Linked DNA regions of Macaca fascicularis. The protein of the gene in region 1 binds, or shares a complex with, the protein of each later gene. Links are inferred from orthologs where the notes say so. Each region holds a gene or a part of one and is shown on either strand. Other genes may lie near its edges. The genes, in order: NMUR2, NMU and GNAI1.

Evidence for each region.
Region 2: the proteins of NMUR2 (region 1) and NMU are in contact, whole or in part, in a cryo-EM structure (PDB 7XK8), measured with the Homo sapiens proteins. The link is inferred for Macaca fascicularis from reciprocal best matches to the Homo sapiens genes NMUR2 and NMU. Residues at the interface, in NP_064552.3 of Homo sapiens: Ser42, His43, Gly98, Glu102, Glu105, Met106, Trp107, Arg108, Asn109, Tyr110, Pro111, Thr123, Phe126, Glu127, Asn181, His185, Pro199, Ser201, Thr203, Cys204, Val206, Tyr213, Phe284, Arg288, Phe291, Glu295, Trp297, Ser298, Glu299, Ala302; in NP_006672.1 of Homo sapiens: Glu146, Phe152, Ala153, Ser154, Gln155, Gly158, Tyr159, Phe160, Leu161, Phe162, Arg163, Pro164, Arg165, Asn166.
Region 3: the proteins of NMUR2 (region 1) and GNAI1 are in contact, whole or in part, in a cryo-EM structure (PDB 7XK8), measured with the Homo sapiens proteins. The link is inferred for Macaca fascicularis from reciprocal best matches to the Homo sapiens genes NMUR2 and GNAI1. Residues at the interface, in NP_064552.3 of Homo sapiens: Thr78, Thr80, Glu143, Arg144, Ala147, Ile148, Pro151, Phe152, Ala154, Leu156, Met239, Leu243, Gln259, Cys262, Arg263, Val266, Leu330, Ser331, Arg333; in NP_002060.4 of Homo sapiens: Glu28, Ala31, Arg32, Leu194, Ile343, Ile344, Lys345, Asn347, Leu348, Lys349, Asp350, Cys351, Gly352, Leu353, Phe354.

Annotation. Positions count from the first base shown.
Region 1 is NC_088380.1:159,246,792-159,252,758, reverse strand, and holds the start of NMUR2 (neuromedin-U receptor 2), read left to right. Parts: upstream 1-2,435; 5' UTR 2,436-2,588; coding exon 2,589-3,314; intron 3,315-5,967. UniProt on the Homo sapiens protein: Receptor for the neuromedin-U and neuromedin-S neuropeptides.
Region 2 is NC_088379.1:78,261,124-78,267,189, forward strand, and holds the start of NMU (neuromedin-U), read left to right. Parts: upstream 1-2,498; 5' UTR 2,499-2,628; coding exon 2,629-2,737; intron 2,738-2,828; exon of another isoform or gene 2,829-3,210; intron 3,211-6,066.
Region 3 is NC_088377.1:141,289,691-141,293,705, forward strand, and holds the start of GNAI1 (guanine nucleotide-binding protein G(i) subunit alpha-1), read right to left. Parts: upstream 2,801-4,015; 5' UTR 2,491-2,800; coding exon 2,373-2,490; intron 1,926-2,372; exon of another isoform or gene 1,575-1,925; intron 1-1,574. UniProt on the Homo sapiens protein: Guanine nucleotide-binding proteins (G proteins) function as transducers downstream of G protein-coupled receptors (GPCRs) in numerous signaling cascades.

The DNA.
Region 1 (5,967 bases):
TACTACACAGCCATAAAAAGGAATGAATTAACAGCATTTGCAGTGACCTGGGTGAGATTAGAGACTATTATTCTAAGTAAAGTAACTCAGGAATGGACAACCAAACATCATATGTTCTCACTGATATGTGGGAGCTAAGGTATGAGGATGCAAAGGCATAAGAATGATACAATGAAGGGATTTTAGGGGAAGAGTGGGAGGTGGGTGAGGGATAAAAGACAACAAATATGGTGCAGTGTATACTGCTCTGGTGATGGGTGCACCAGGTTCTCACAAATCTCTACTAAAGAACTTACTCCTATAACCAAATACCACCTGTACCCCAATAACTTATGGAAAAATATTTTTGTTAAAAAACAGAAAGAAGTATTTTCCATTTTCCTCAGTGCTAAGTTTATAGTCTGCCACTGTGCACCCTTATAAATTTAATGATCCTTATATCTAAATGAGACATTTTCATTAAACTTTTCCTATTTCATTAGAAAAATATGTTAAAGTGTGTTAATAGTGATTTTAACATCAAAACTTGCCTTTAACTAGAGGGCTCTAATTCTGGCTCTGCAATACCTATTACATGTCTATAATTACTATTAATGTTATTCACCAATTTTTCCTAGTTTTCCATCTTCTGTGCACATGCTAAGACAGCACTTCCTGACCCTGCTGTGGTTGAATGGGTACATATGATTAACTTTGGTCAATGAGCTGTGAGTAAAAGTGGCAATGAGTTACTTACTTTTGGGCTAGAGCCTATAATTACCTACTTAAGACCATCTAGAGCTCTCTTTTCCTCTATCACAATGATAATCAAAATTCCAGAGCGTGACCACTGCATCAGCCTGGGTTTATGAGTGAGTATAGCATGAGACAGACCCTCAATACATTTGAAGTGCAAGAGAAATAAATCTTTATTATTTAAACCAAGATATGTCAATCATTCGTTACAGAAGCATAAACTATCTTAACTTGAAGGACAGCTTATTCTTCAACAAGTCACTTTTCCTCTCTAATTTTTAATGTCATCATTTGATTTAACAAATAAAAGGGAAAAAATTAACATTTAGCGAATATCTCTAAAGTATAAGTTGCTTCGTTATATATAATTTAATTTAGTCTTCTCAATGACTATAAAAGGTATTGTCCCCTGCAAAAATATTCCTAAATCCAAAGAAATCTCTCAACTCCACTACTCAAAGAATCCAAGCCACTACTATGTCTTAGGACTAGCCTCTTACCTACCTTCTGTTAAAATTTCTCCCTCATTAATTCTCCAGTGCAAAATATTTTAAAGACTTCTCCCTGCAGTTTGAATCAGAGGCAAACTCTCTTCCACGGCCTATAAGAGTTTACATGAACTTGCACCTGCCAGCCACTCCAATCTAATCATTCATACTTTGCTGACCACTTATTAAATTCCAGTTATTCTGGTCTTCCTGATATTTTTAAAACATATCAAGCTTGTTTCTGCCTCAGGACCTTTGCACTTGCAATTGCTTTTGCTGAGTAATACACTTCCCTTAGCTCTTTCATGACTGACTCAGCTAAAGCGACATCTGAGATAAGTTTTCTTTCACCATCCTTGATAAATAATGATTTATCAATTACTATCTGAAATTATATTAATTTATTCATTTACTTGTGTGTTTTCAGAATTCCCTACTGTAAGAAAAGCTCCACTAGGGCAGAGACCTTGTCTTGCTTGTACACTGATGTTTCTACAAAGCTTAGAATATTCCCTGGCAAATAGTGAATCCTCAAGAAGTTATTTGTGGAACACAATCGAATCAATGATGCAGATAAGGAAATGAGCCTTTAAGAGTTTGGGTAACTGTCCAACTTTCCTAAATTTCTATGAGTGCTCCTAATTCTGAAGTCCGTTTGCCTTTTGCTTACAGCAAAGCTCTGCTAAGAGACTGAAGTGTCAGGTAGCAGTCAGAGCTAGGCACTGTGCACGTGCCCTTTCAGGCTTTGGTTTTGGATGCAGTCAAAACCAAAAACTCTCGTTAATCATGTTATCACATTAATCCCCAGAGAACCCTGAATTTCCAGTGGAACAAGATAACTTGAGAAATCTATTGATTTCCTGTGTTCATCCTGCTGTACGGCTGACAAGGATTGGTGGAGACTGGTAATCTTTTGCCCACGACCCTACGACTTTGATTTCTATGTCCGCCCAGATTCTCACAACTTTGCAACATGCATTGCTCAAAATGCCCATCCATGAAGTCAGAGTGGTTTCTTCTGTGTCAGCTCTGCCTTCCCAGCTCCTTCCCACTCAGAGAGAGGTCTCCGCCTCCTCCCCTGTTCCCTGACACAAAGCCAGCACTCCTCTCTTCCGGTGCAGCCTGACACACTCTCATTGGCCCTCAGCCTGTGAAGGGGAGGGGCTTGTGTCTTTGGGACTCTTCAAAAGGGATCGGCGGTCCAGGCAGCCTACCTTTGAGGCTGAAACATTCACTCTCTCCCAGCCTTCCTCACTAAGCCTGTGATTTTCCTGACTGCTTTCTCTCTCTCTCTCTCTTTTTTTTTTTTTCCTGGCTCAGCTTGAAACAGCCTCGTACCAGGGGAGGCTCAGGCCTTGGATTTTAATGTCAGGGATGGAAAAACTTCAGAATGCTTCCTGGATCTACCAGCAGAAACTGGAAGATCCATTCCAGAAACACCTGAACAGCACCGAGGAGTATCTGGCCTTCCTCTGCGGACCTCGGCGCAGCCACTTCTTCCTCCCCGTGTCTGTGGTGTATGTGCCAATTTTTGTGGTGGGGGTCATTGGCAATGTCCTGGTGTGCCTGGTGATTGTGCAGCACCAGGCTATGAAGACGCCCACCAACTACTACCTCTTCAGCCTGGCGGTCTCTGACCTCCTGGTCCTGCTCCTTGGAATGCCCCTGGAGGTCTATGAGATGTGGCGCAACTACCCCTTCTTGTTCGGGCCTGTGGGATGCTACTTCAAGACGGCCCTCTTTGAAACCGTGTGCTTCGCCTCCATCCTCAGCATCACCGCCATCAGCGTGGAGCGCTACGTGGCCATCCTACACCCGTTCCGCGCCAAGTTGGAGAGCACCCGGCGCCGGGCTCTCAGGATCCTCGGCGTCGTCTGGGGCTTCTCCGTGCTCTTCTCCCTGCCCAACACCAGCATCCACGGCATCAAGTTCCACTACTTCCCCAATGGGTCCCTGGTCCCAGGTTCGGCCACCTGTACGGTCATCAAGCCCATGTGGATCTACAATTTCATCATCCAGGTCACCTCCTTCCTATTCTACTTCCTCCCCATGACTGTCATCAGTGTCCTCTACTACCTCATGGCACTCAGAGTGAGTATCTAGGCTAGCTGGCTTAAGGCAGCATCCCTTCTGTTTTCACAGGCTCAAAGTTCAGAGAAAAACTTAGAATTGGGGAAATTCAGAAATGGAAGGGAACAGAGGGAAAATAGAATGAGCTCAGATGGGAAATCAAGGCATTAAAGAAATTGCCTCAAATGAGATGAATGGTAACCACCACTATTTATCATTTCCTTCAGCTCGTCTTCTCATATCTAAATAAGATATGGGTTCTCATATCTAAATGTTCCTAAGAACCATCCAGAAAACTTACTTTGGGTAGCAATATGGATACCTCACCCCCAGGAAAATGGGATTCAGTAGGTCTGAGGTGGAGCCTCATTGTAAAAAAGCACATCAGGCGATCTGGGGTGAGGTGGCCACAGCTTGAGAGACTCCTCCGCATCCTGTTATCACTTTCCAGCCCCCGGCCACTGCCTGCGTTGAGATTTTCCTCTACACCAAGTTGGTCTGAGTATAACACAAACTATCAACTATCCCTGACTATTTTATAGTCCCAGATAGGTATTCAGTTTTAAAATCAGACCTTTCCTGTGGCTGCTCTGACCCTTTCATTAAAATGAGGTTGAAACAAAACAAAATAAAACTATATATATATATTTATTTATTTATTTATAGTTATATATAATATATATATAGTCATATATATTAATGACATGACTGAGATAACTTGAGCTTCTTTTGAGCACGTGCAGACTGAGAGATAAGGAAGTAACCAGCACATGAGATAGAGTAAAAAAAATGTGAATAAGAGTTATCTGAAATTAAGAAAAAGATATCACTTATTTTGCAACATATATAATTAGAGGTTCTTTTCCTATGTTTATGGTGATAAACTGATTTCTTTTTCAGAAGGGGGTGTAATAAATTAACTGAGAGAAACTGTTTTTAATAAGGGTAGGAATGAGGCTATGTAATTCCTCTCTGGTATATTCTGCACCCAAATTCATGAAGAGAAAAGTTTTTGACAATGACAATTTTACACCCACTTAAGGGAGGTATTATAGCTTGTGTAGTAAACAGTTATGAGACCATTTAGACTCCCAGATCTACAGCAGACACATAAAATGCCTTTAGGCAAGCCACATGATTCTCCTAGAATTAGTTTTCCCATTTATAAAATGAAAAGGTTACATCAGATCATATCTATGTACCCTCTAGTTCTAACAGTCTATGATTCCTTTTAAAAAAGAAAAAAAAAAAAACAACCTGTGAGGTGAAGCAATGTGAGTTTTAAATGAGAGGACAAGCAGACATCACACTCACATTATTTGCTTTGAGATGGCTCTGACATCATATGTTATATGACAACGAATATACTCCTATTTCAGTCCATCTCTGAGAAGCTGATTGTCAGAAGCGAGTGACCAATGGTAGTCTTTTTGAATACCTATTGTCCCTAAGGTGAATAGCAAGGTCTAAGTAGGAAGAACAAATTCTAAGTGTCACAGACATCTGGGCACAAGAGTAAATCTACTTAGGCAGATAGCTGTGCCAGTCCCCTCCTGGAGGGCTAGCACCTATATTCCCGGAGACATGTACCACCCCGCACTAGCTCACAGCCATGTCTTAAGAATGTCCTGCAATTCTCACTCAAGCGAAAAGACTTCTATACAACTCCAAAGAAAGTCCTATGAGAAACACCCACCCAGAACTTAGTAATATCTCATCTAATACCAAAGAATCACCTATTTTGGGTCAATTTGGGAAAAATATTTAACTTTGAGTAGGAAATGCACATTTCCTCTTCCAATCTGTTACAATCAGTTTCATTGTGTTTTATTATCAAAAGTCCATAGCTACCTTGTATCAAGAGCTAAGTGATAGCTCAAACAGAAGTTTAAAAACCACCCTGGTTTGCTTTGGGTATGTAATGCAACTTTTGATAGCCTGTTTTCAGGAAGGATGAGCTGTTATCCAGGGTACCAGAGGACACCAGGAAAGAAACTAACTGCTTAAAAGTCACTCCTAGAAGAATTTAAAAATCTCTATACTGAAAATCAGGAAAAGTAGACCCTATTCTGTGTCACTGACCTGAGGACCTTTATGTACAATATACCTGTAGCCTGAAATGTTCCTACTGTCTGCCACCACTACCCTTTTGCCTTTCTAACCCTCATTTATTCTTTATGTCATACTTCAATCACACTTCCTCAGGGAAGCTCTCCCAGATTTCCTGAGCATTCCTGTTTCCTGTTGTAGGTGCTCACGACTCAGTGATTTTCCTTCATTACAATTTACAATTCCATACTTATGGATTCCTTAATTAATTTTTTTCTCCCCAACTAGACTGTAAGCTCAGTGAATGAATGAGGCTAAATTACTTCCTTCGTTGCTGGGCTTTAGCTTCTCTACCTTTAAAACAAAGACTTGTAAATATTATCTCAAAGAGATATAAGCAATCCTAATGATTGTTAAGTAATTGACTCTGTTGGAAAGTTTGAAGGTGTGATTGACTCTGGGACCCACTGCTTTCAGAAGGCAGCAAGTCTAAGACTAATGAAATCAGAGGACCAGGGAAGAAGGAGGAAACCCGTATCTGTGCTCATAGCTCAGCATTCAGTCACACTGCATCATTCCAGGACACAGCCACCACTGAGCTGCTCTCCAGGATTTGAACATTATA
Region 2 (6,066 bases), on another chromosome or scaffold:
AAAAAGTCACACTAGCCAGGCTCAGCAGCTTATATCTATAGTCCCAACACTTTGGGAGGCTGAGGCAGGGGGATTACCTGAGGTCAAGCATTCAAAGACCAGCCTGGCCAATGTGGTGAAACTTCATCTTTACTAAAAATACAAAAATTAGCCGGGTGTGGTGGTGCACACCTGTAGTCCCAACTAGGAGACTGAGACACGAGGATCCCTTGAACTGGGAGGGAGAGGTTGGAGTGAGCCAAGATCGTGCCACTGCACTCCAGCCTGGGTAACAGAGTGAGACTCCATCTCAAAAAACAAGAAGGAAAAAAAAAAAAAAGGAAAGAAGTCACACTCACCATATTGACAAAGGTTTCTGCATGAATGAATAGCCATGGAAACGTCATTCATGGTTGGTGGGAATGTAAATTGGTATAACACTTTGGAAAACAGTGTAAAACAGAGATTAGCTAGGTCATCCCCTATGACCTAATGACTCCACTCCTGGGAACATTCCTCAGAAAACTCTTGCACGTGTACACTAGGGGGCATGTACAAGAACGTTCTAAGCAGGCTGGTTCATGCAAGGAAAAAAAAAAAAAAACTTTAATACACAAGTTGTTTATTTTGCTGACTTGTTGGGGATATAAAAAACATTAAGCCCACTGTTTCAGGCTTCTCTGCTCTGGCTGACATTTCACGCTCACACTGGCTGCTGGGACTGGTGATCTTTCAGTGCACCTCTGGGAGACACCAGGAAGAATGTCATAGGGAAGCAGAGCCATGTTCACCTGCTTGCATCCGTAGGTCATTTACATCCTTTGTGCTCTTTTTTTTCTTTTTTTACTACTTTGGGAATAAATCAAAGTACAAGAATCTTGAATCAAATATTTTCTCACCCATCCCTGAACTTGGACCAGACCCTATAATCCAGCCTTTCTTACACGCTTCCTGTGTATAAAGAATTTAAAGAAGGTGGCCATTATTTTTTTACCTAATCTGTCAGGGTTTTACTCCTGCCTCTCTTCGTATTTCTGACAGAGCACTATCCCAATCTGCCTTGTAATTCAGCTATTTGAGTAAGGGTTTAGGGTCCTTTACCAAGTTATAACTTCCTTAGGAGAGAAAGATCCTACTGTCACTAAATCTTGTATCCCCAAAGGTCAGGTCTTGCTTACAGTAGGTTGAGCTGTGTGTGCCTAATACATTAAAACTCTGTATTTAGGGAGAAGTATCTTGGTGGAGTAGAATAGCCAGTGGCTGCCTCACGTGCTGACAGCCCTGAGCAGATTGTTTAATCCCTCTTGGCATCATAAATGAGAATTTCAGTACTTCTACATCCCAGAGATGCCATGAATATTAAATAAAATAACACGAGAAAATGCCTGACGCAAAAGTGCCCCTTCAGAAATGTTAATGTACTTCCTGCCCTTTCCTCGGCGTTCCTCGCCTTTCAAAGGGAGGTCAAATAAGACCGGTTTTCACACACTGGGACCTATGGGGGGGGGGTGGGGTGCGGGGACAGGGGGAGCATCAGGAAAAATAGCTAATGCATTCTGGGCTTAATTCCTAGGTGATAGGTTGATAGGTACAGCAAACCACTATGGAACACGTTTAGCTATGGGACAAACCGGCACATCCTGCGCATGTACCCCGGAACTTGAAATAATAATAATAAAGACGAGGTTTCCCTCTTTCTGTAGAAGGAAATTAGGACTGTATTAGCTGGTGTCCTGGAAGAGGCTGCTTCCTGAACGTTTCCAATCAAGGAAAGTATAGAGATGGAAAGAGGGAGTCAGGTCACGGTAGAAATCAGGATGCAATAGCAGCAGAAATGCATAGAAAAAGGAGTTTCCTTAGGCTTGGAAATCCGTAGGATAACCAGCGCTCCAGAGCTGTTAGAAATGTGTGTGGTCAAGCCCCAGCAGTCCTTTCTTCTTTATCTTTTATTAACAGGCAACTGCATTTCCCTAAGGGGTCTGTGATTTTGCAGGAATTTGGGGGAGGGTAGATAGCATCAACATCACCGTTGAACCAGCACTGCCCTGATATGCACCAGGCATTGAGCTTGGACCTGGGGATAAACCGGGGAACAAAACAGAGGCGCTTCCACAGAGGTGCGTACTAGGGGCTGCCGGAGCTCTAGCAGAGGTGAAGGAGAAAGCGCGTCCCACGCAGACCCAGGAAACCAGACAGCGTCGCCACTACCAAGTTTAAAAACTCAGACGGCCTGGTTTGCCATCTCCATTGTGTTCCCACTCCAGTCCTTCCAAAGGTGTGAATGGTGCATTATTTAAAGTCCATTCTCTTTATCCCAGAGCGAAAATGCGTAGTACTTGGGTCAGAAACTCAGGCCAGAGGGCTCGGGTCCCCCTGCAGGGTGGGGCGCGGGCAGGCAGTGGGGCGGGTGACGCGGGGTAGGCCGGGGGTGGCAGGCGGCGAGGTGACGTGCGGCGGGGACTGCGCAGCCCAGCCCACGTGTGCGCGAGATTTAAAAGTTGTCGGCGCGTCGGGCGCTCAGTTCTGTGTGTGGGCCCCGCGAGCGGCGCTCCAGGGCCGCTGGAGGCACTGCCAGGGCACCAGGTGGAGCACCAGCTCGGCGTGGCGCAGCGCAGGGTCCCTAGCAGCGAGCCTCCCGCAGCCGCCGAGATGCTGCGAACAGCGAGCTGCCCCCCAAGGTCGCCCCCCGGACAGGGGGCCGCGGCGTCCACGCTCCTGCTGCTGCTGCTGCTCGCCTGCTGCGCGGGCGCCTGCAGAGGTAAGACGGCCCCGCACCCGGCCGCCGCCACACCATGCGCGCCTCTCTCTGGCTCCACTCACCACTCTCTCCCGCCCTTTCTTTCACCTTCACTTGGTTTCTGGGACTTCTCTTGGCTTCTCTGGTGCCGCGGGATTTCCCGCCTCCCAGGCACAGATCGCCCCACTAGAGCAACTAGCAACATAGGAGCAAGGGGCCCGGCCGGGGCCGAAATCCCCAGGCCCCGCGCGTTGATGCCCAGCGGAGACCCTGCGCTGGGCCGACTGCGATAGGTGGAGACTGGTAGGGCTCCCTCATCCTCGGGATTTCCAGCCCCGCTGGCCCGTGGAAACGGGTATTAAAATAGTGAACGTTAAAATGCCTTCCCTTTGATTGCAATTATTGAAGGGATTGATGGTCGAAGCAAAACAAGAGTGAGCCTGATACTTCGTCCGCTGAGGCAAGGTAAACTTGGCGAGTGCTCAGCCTGTTTGGTGAGTGAGCTCGTGTTATGTTGACATAAACCTGAGCGGTACAACGGGCCCCACGCGCTAACCGCTTAGAAGGGGGAAGGAGTGGGCTTTGTGTTTTATCGGTTTTCAGGCACTAGATCAGGAAAAGGAATAGAGAACTTCTCATCACACAAAGTTGAAGAGGCAAATGTGCAAGCCAGGCTTTCAGGCAGTGCGACAGCTACAGCAAGTGATGGCAGATGTGATTTGATAACAATAGGGACTTCCTGAGCTTGGCTTAGAGGAAAGAAATAGGAAACGCAAGGTCAGGGAAGGAGATCGGAAGCTTTGGAGACATAGCCGAGCAGAATGCAAACGTTCTGGAGAGATTTGCATGGAGAGATCATTTTCTGGGTTCTCCAAGGGTTACAGCTTACGTTTGCAGGTGGCTTATGGGCACCATTATTCATCCCCAAGTCAGGGGTCCCTCCATTGTCAACCACTGCCTGGCTACATCCATAAATTTTCTAGCTTGGCAGGAGGTTCTCTTAGCTTCCCTCTGCTCTCCAGTCAGTGAGGTAAAAGTGGCAGACTGTTGTGTCATTGTTCAGAACGTTGGGTACTTAAAATCACAACTGCAGAGCCTGTAGTCCAGCCCTCAATTAGAGATGGGGAAATAGAGACCGCTATGCTTTTCCTAATCTATTTATTTTTACTGTTCTCCTCTCATTGTTTTGATTTTGTCCTTTCCTGAGGCATTGGAGGGGTGCGTGTGTGTGTGTGTGTGTGTGTGTGTGTGTGTGTGTGTGTGAGAGAGAGAGAGAGAGAGAGAGAGAGAGAGAGAGAGAGACTCCCCTACTTGAAAAGCAAGATAATTTGGCTTTGAAATCCAGGCAGTCAGAAGCTAGCAAACCCAAACGTTCTCCACATAGCCAGTAGTGATACATTACTTTCTCCCAAGGTAAATGTTCATCTTTTAGGATTTTAAATATATTATTGGTAACTTTGGATGGTAATCTTTATCTGCCTTCTTAAGGATGCAGATAAGCATAGTTTGAAAAGTGACTTTGCTATGTAAAGAAAATGGATTTCTATGCATTTGCATGCTATATGCTTGCAGTGAATTTGGCATCAGTGAATTTTGCATGCAGAGAAATTTGCATCAGAGATAACTGCCTTGGGATGGGTTGGAGAATTTCAGACTGCTGGTGATTGAACAGTATAGAAAGCAGCAGCTGGTTCCTAAAAGAGATGAGTCTTGGTTTTTATTTCCAAAAGAGCATATCTGCTGACATACCAATCGTCTCGTAGATAACCCCAATATTTTTCAAGCAAAAGAATGAGATACTTCCTTTACTACCCAGAAGCCCCCTAGATTGCCCTTTTGCATCTTCATTCCCCTTCAGACCTGCTATGAATACTAAAAAGTGAATTGTATCTCTTTAAAAATGTGGTAGGATGGGGAGAGGGTGAATAGCCATGTGATCTGTCCGAGTCCTGAGTCCCTAAAGATGGCACCGAGGGGGACGTGACATACATAAGCAAAACCCAGAGATTATCTACCATGGTCAATCATCATGCAAGATGCAACTGGATGCCTCAAAAAACAACACAACAAATGTTGCAATGCTAGAGGAAAATAAAAGTGTCATTAAATGCAGCATCCTTGGAAAAAAAAAGATAAAGGGTCAGCCACAGATTCAGTGGATGGAAACAATTTACTATTCAGAGCACACTAGTAAAATAAAGAAGGAAAATAAACACACTAGTAAAATAAAAAAAGATAAAGGGTCATGCGAAGATAAAGGGTCAGCCACAGATTCAGTGGATGGAAACAATTTACTATTCAGAGCACACTAGTAAAATAAAGAAGGAAACTTATATAAGAGGAACACATTTTGGATATCTGCAACAAACTGTTACTTGATTTTGCCTGTGACAATAAGTTATCAAATGGTCAAGACTAAGTTAAGGAGTGTCTTTTCCTGCCCAGGCCTCTTGCTCATAGAATAATTCTTAACGTTCACTTGACAGTAAAGATTTCTCACTTCCCAAACCCACAGTGAAGTACATACTCGCCATGAGAAAAGAAAATTGGCACTACTTTTAGAATAATCAGGTCTGTCTTTCTTATACATAATGTATTTACGGATGTACAAGTTTTTATTTTCAGCAGAGTATACTGTATAATACTGAAGATTTCACTTTGCTAAATAGTAATGAAGTATAAATATCTTGAAGTTTCTCACTGAAACTTATCAAAAACAGTACAGTTATGATACAGGCACTGTCTCTGAAAACACGGAAAGTGATCTAAGTACAGTATTGCTCTTTGACAGTGTGAAGTCCATATCCAGAATGAAAATCACATTGACTCTAATTAACACATAGACAAAGGAAAGAATAACTCCCCCTTACGTTTGGGTTCAGTCATAGGATATTAGTCGTCAGTCTTTTTCTTTTCGTGAGACGGAGTCTCGCTCTGTCGCCCAGGCTGGAGTGCAGTGGCCTCATCTGGGCTCACTGCAAGCTCCGCCTCTTGGGTTCACCCCATTCTCCAGCCTCAGCCTCCCGAATAGCTGTAACTACAGGTGCCTGCCACCATGCCCGGCTAATTTTCTTGTATTTTTAGTGGAGATGGGGTTTCATCGTGTTAGCCAGGATGGTCTTGATCTTCGGACCTCATGATCCGCCCGTCTCGTCCTCCCAAAGTGTTGGGATTACAGGCGTGAACCACTGTGCCTGGCCAGGATATTAGTCGTTTTCTACAAATCATAGAATTTTAAAAAAATTTTTGTCTCTTCTTATCTTTTTTTTTTAACCATGAAACTGTGTTTACATGTTTTTAGAAGGGCCACAAAATGTCCTTTTTCTATTTTATGGAAGTGCCTGGGGCTA
Region 3 (4,015 bases), on another chromosome or scaffold:
AGATTGCTAAAAATCATTCTGAAGTATTTCTAATGGTGCTAGTACTGGTTTAACGAAATAAGAATTCTGGTCAGGCGAGGTGGCTCACGCCTGTAATCCCAGGACTTTGGGAGGCCGAGGCGGGCGGATCACCTGAGGTCAGGAGTTCGAGACAAGCCTGGCCAACATGGGGAAACCCGGTCTCTACTAAAAACACAAAATTAGCCAGGCATGGTGGCACGCACCCGTAGTTCCAGCTACTCCGGAGGCTGAGGCAGGAGAATGGCTCGAACCAGGAGGCGAAGGTTGCTGTGAGCCGAGATCGGGCCACTGCACTCCAGCCTGGGCGACAGAGCAAGACTCCGTCTCAAAAAAACAAACAAAAACAAAACAGAAATAAGAATTCCATAATTTCTTCTGAAAATAAGGCCTCTGCTACATCTCTCTCCAAACTCACTATGACTGTAAAGATTCACCTTCTGATTCTATATTATACATTCAATTATATTTAAGTGTTAATCTAGAACAGTGGTCCTTAACTAAGGCTGTATATTGCCCCCAGAGGACTTCTAGCAATATGTGGAAACGCTTTTGGAGCTCATAGGTTGGGGGACTGCTACTACCATCTAATGAGTGGAGGCCAAAGATGCTGCTGAACATCCTACAATGCACAAAAACAACCTGCACAACAAAGAATTTCCCGGCCCCAAATGCCAACCGTGCTAAGGTTAAGACACACTGATCTCTTCTGAACACAAGCAAAAGCCTCCTCCTGGGACCTTTATTCTAGTCCATCCCTAACAGTCACCTAATTAAAGGACAAAACACCACGACCAGATGATTCATTTCTCAATTGCTTTAAACATGGTGGATGGCTGGCTCAAACTAAGAGTCACACAAAAATACACTGAAACAACATATCACACCAGGAGAGCAAAAACTGCAAGAAAAAAACTTTTTAATCCTTTTATTTCATATCTATCTCACATTCAATTCACAAGAGAAGCAGATACACTAACCTCCTCAAAACACAGTATTTCTTAATAATGTAAAAACTTAGGCAACAGCATTAACTGAGAAAGACTTATGTTGGGGGCGAGAGGGTGAAAAAAGCCACGCAGGTCTTTAAAATGCAAAGTTATTTCACAGTTTACTTGCAAAATGACTCAGATCATTATTACTTTTAGTCATGCCAACTTTGCTGCTCCCAAGCCTACTAGTAATGTAGAAAAAAAAACCACCATTTTTTCTGCAGTCATTAAACCAATGAAACAGAAGCTTACTGAAAACAGGTTTGTGCAACATTTCTTTTTTATTATAACTGGTATAAAAATAAAAGCAGTCCTTGGAAATGCAAATGAAGATTCTGAGAAATTTTTCATCTAAATACCTAGAGTGTGAGAAGAAAACATGCAAACAAAAGAAAACCCTAACTCACAAATCTTAACCTGTGACTATTTTCCTACTGCTTCCCTCAATGAAAACCCTGGTTTACTCTTTTTTATTTTCTTCCCTGTCAAACATTTGGAAAAGACCTCCACGTAGCGTTTCACGAACAGAACAGTGCGAAGAACAAATAAAAGCCTTGCGTGTACCTGGCAAATCTCATTCATCAGAAACGGTGGCAGCGGAGGGAGAACCGTGTTGTCTGGCGTGACCCTCTCGCTCCTTTCACAGCAGTTTTCACCACTCGAGTCTTGCCTACTACTAAAGCAAAGCTTCCCAACCCCACTTGGGTGGCTTCCATGCCCCTACAGCAAGAAAAATCAAGCATCCAGCGCAGCCTTTCCCCAGCGCAGGCGGAATGTAATCGATGCTCCTTGACCACTTAAGGAGTCGCCATAGGAAGTTAACAGGAAAGACATTTCAGCCCCATCTCAGAGACCCCACAAAAGGTGCACTGATTTCACCAAACGTGGCACTCTGGGCATGAGAAAACCACAGTCGAAACACAACCCACACCTCACACGAAGAAGGGTTTTCCGGGAGGGGGCTGGGGACGGCGTGGGGGGGTGGTTATTTTCTAGCCACGAATGCCCCTTCGTCTTTGTAAGGCTGAGCTAAACTTCAAAGCAAAGGGTTTCCACAGGACCCGCCGCCTCGGACTCGCGCCTGGGCTCTTTGCTGGGTCGCCGAAGGCATCCGAGAGAAGTGACGCGCCCGCCCCACCACGGGGAGTCCTCGCCCGCCGGGGCGGAGGGAGGCCGGGCACCCGGAGAGGAGGACCCGCCTCGGCTGCGCACCGCCTGACCTAGCTCCCGCTCGGAAGCCTCCTCGGGCGCTTCCTCCCCTTCCCTCCGGGTTTCCAAATGCCGAGGGCCGCGCAGCGGTCACCGCGGAGCGCCGCGCCCGGTCCCCCGCCAACCCGGGGTCCCCGACCCGGCCGCCCTTACCAAGCAGCAGCAGCTTGACCTCGCGCGCCGCCTTCTCGCCGTCCTCGCGGAGGTTGCGGTCGATCATCTTACTCCGCTCCACCGCCGCCTTGTCCTCGGCGCTCAGCGTGCAGCCCATGTTGCCGAGAGCGAGAGCCTGCCGCCGCTCCCTCCGCGCCCGAGTGCGGGCTCCAAGCACAGGGGAATCCTTTCTCTCTCTGAGCGGGCGTTCGAACGCCTCCCGACGGGGGCCACGCCACCCCCACCACTTCCTAAGCGGAGTCGAGAGAGACGCCGTCCGCAGAGGGGCAGACAGCAACGCGCGGCTGTTCCTCACGGCCAGGCTCTGCTTCCCGGTGCGGCTCAGCGCCCCCAAGTCTCCGGTTTGGGGTTTTGAAGCTCTGGGTACAGTGGCTGCTGCCCTCCCGCCGGTGGCCGCGCCGCAGCCTTGCCAAGCCCAGCCGAGCTCGGCCTCCGCGCGCCGCCGCGGCCCCGCCCCTCCCGCCACCCCGCGACCACTCCCAGAGCGCGCGCCCGCGCACGTGCCCTTGGACAGCGCCCACTCGGAGGGGCGCGCGCGCCCCCCGGCTCCCTACCGCGGCGCCGCGACACCCCCGAGGGCCCGGCGCCCCCTGGCAGCGTCCCCGGAGCACAACACTGACCCGCGGGCCTGTGGCCTTCTGCCCTGGGCGGGAGTGGGGTAATTTCTTTCCGTTTACTCACACCGACGGAGCTGTGCGTACCTGCCCTTTCGGGTAGGGGTGGGAGAGCTGCCAAAGTTGCCGAAAAAAGCCAGTTCTGGGCGTTTGAGCATGCCCAGCGCCGGCAGCCACACAAGGCTTTTCAAAATGCAAATCCCTGTCGGCTGGCTTTCAGGGCCGTGGGAAACAGGGAGCTGGGGAAGGAATGGAGCCTGGTGAAACCAGAGATGGGCACAGTGGAGAACAGGAAAGTCGGGGGAGGAGACTAGGAAAGGGCAACAAGGTCAACTTTCTTCCTACCTTTTGCTTCTCTTTCCTTCTTCCTATCCCTCCCTCCTTCCTTCCATTCTCAGGTTTTTCACAAGAACTCATTTTGAAGGATTTCCTTGTAACCTAAAAAAATGGGAGACAAATAATCAAAAAGTACTTTTAAATGATAAGAGCAATAAAACACACCCACAACAAGCCAATCTCCACATCATAGCAGATCTCCTCTAGAGCAGCACATAAGCTTCCATGCCAAATTTTGAGCCAATATTTATTACCGTGTTTGTAACTCCTGTACCACTGGGCATGTCGTTTTTACAGGCCTTAGCTTCTTTCCCCATAAAATGAGGAGTGCATTTATGGGGCTATGGCCCCATCCTTCCAGCTGTAACTGATCCGCCCGAGATAAGTTCCTGTGGCCTGCAGGAGGCATTACTACTCAGCACCCAATGAATGAGCAGAGGCTTAAGATCTCATCTCTCCCTGTCAATTGCACTACACCTTTCCCCTACAGATATCACAGGAAGCGTTAACTGATTAGAAAATGGGACTGGTAGCAAGGAAAAACATCTTCCTTGATGTATTAAAAATTGGGAAATGCTCCCTGGTTTTCATCTGGAAATCTTATTATCTAAAAATCATTTGAGAAAACTGGGCTTGAGTTTTCCAAGGTGAGGCTGAACTGATGATACAAGC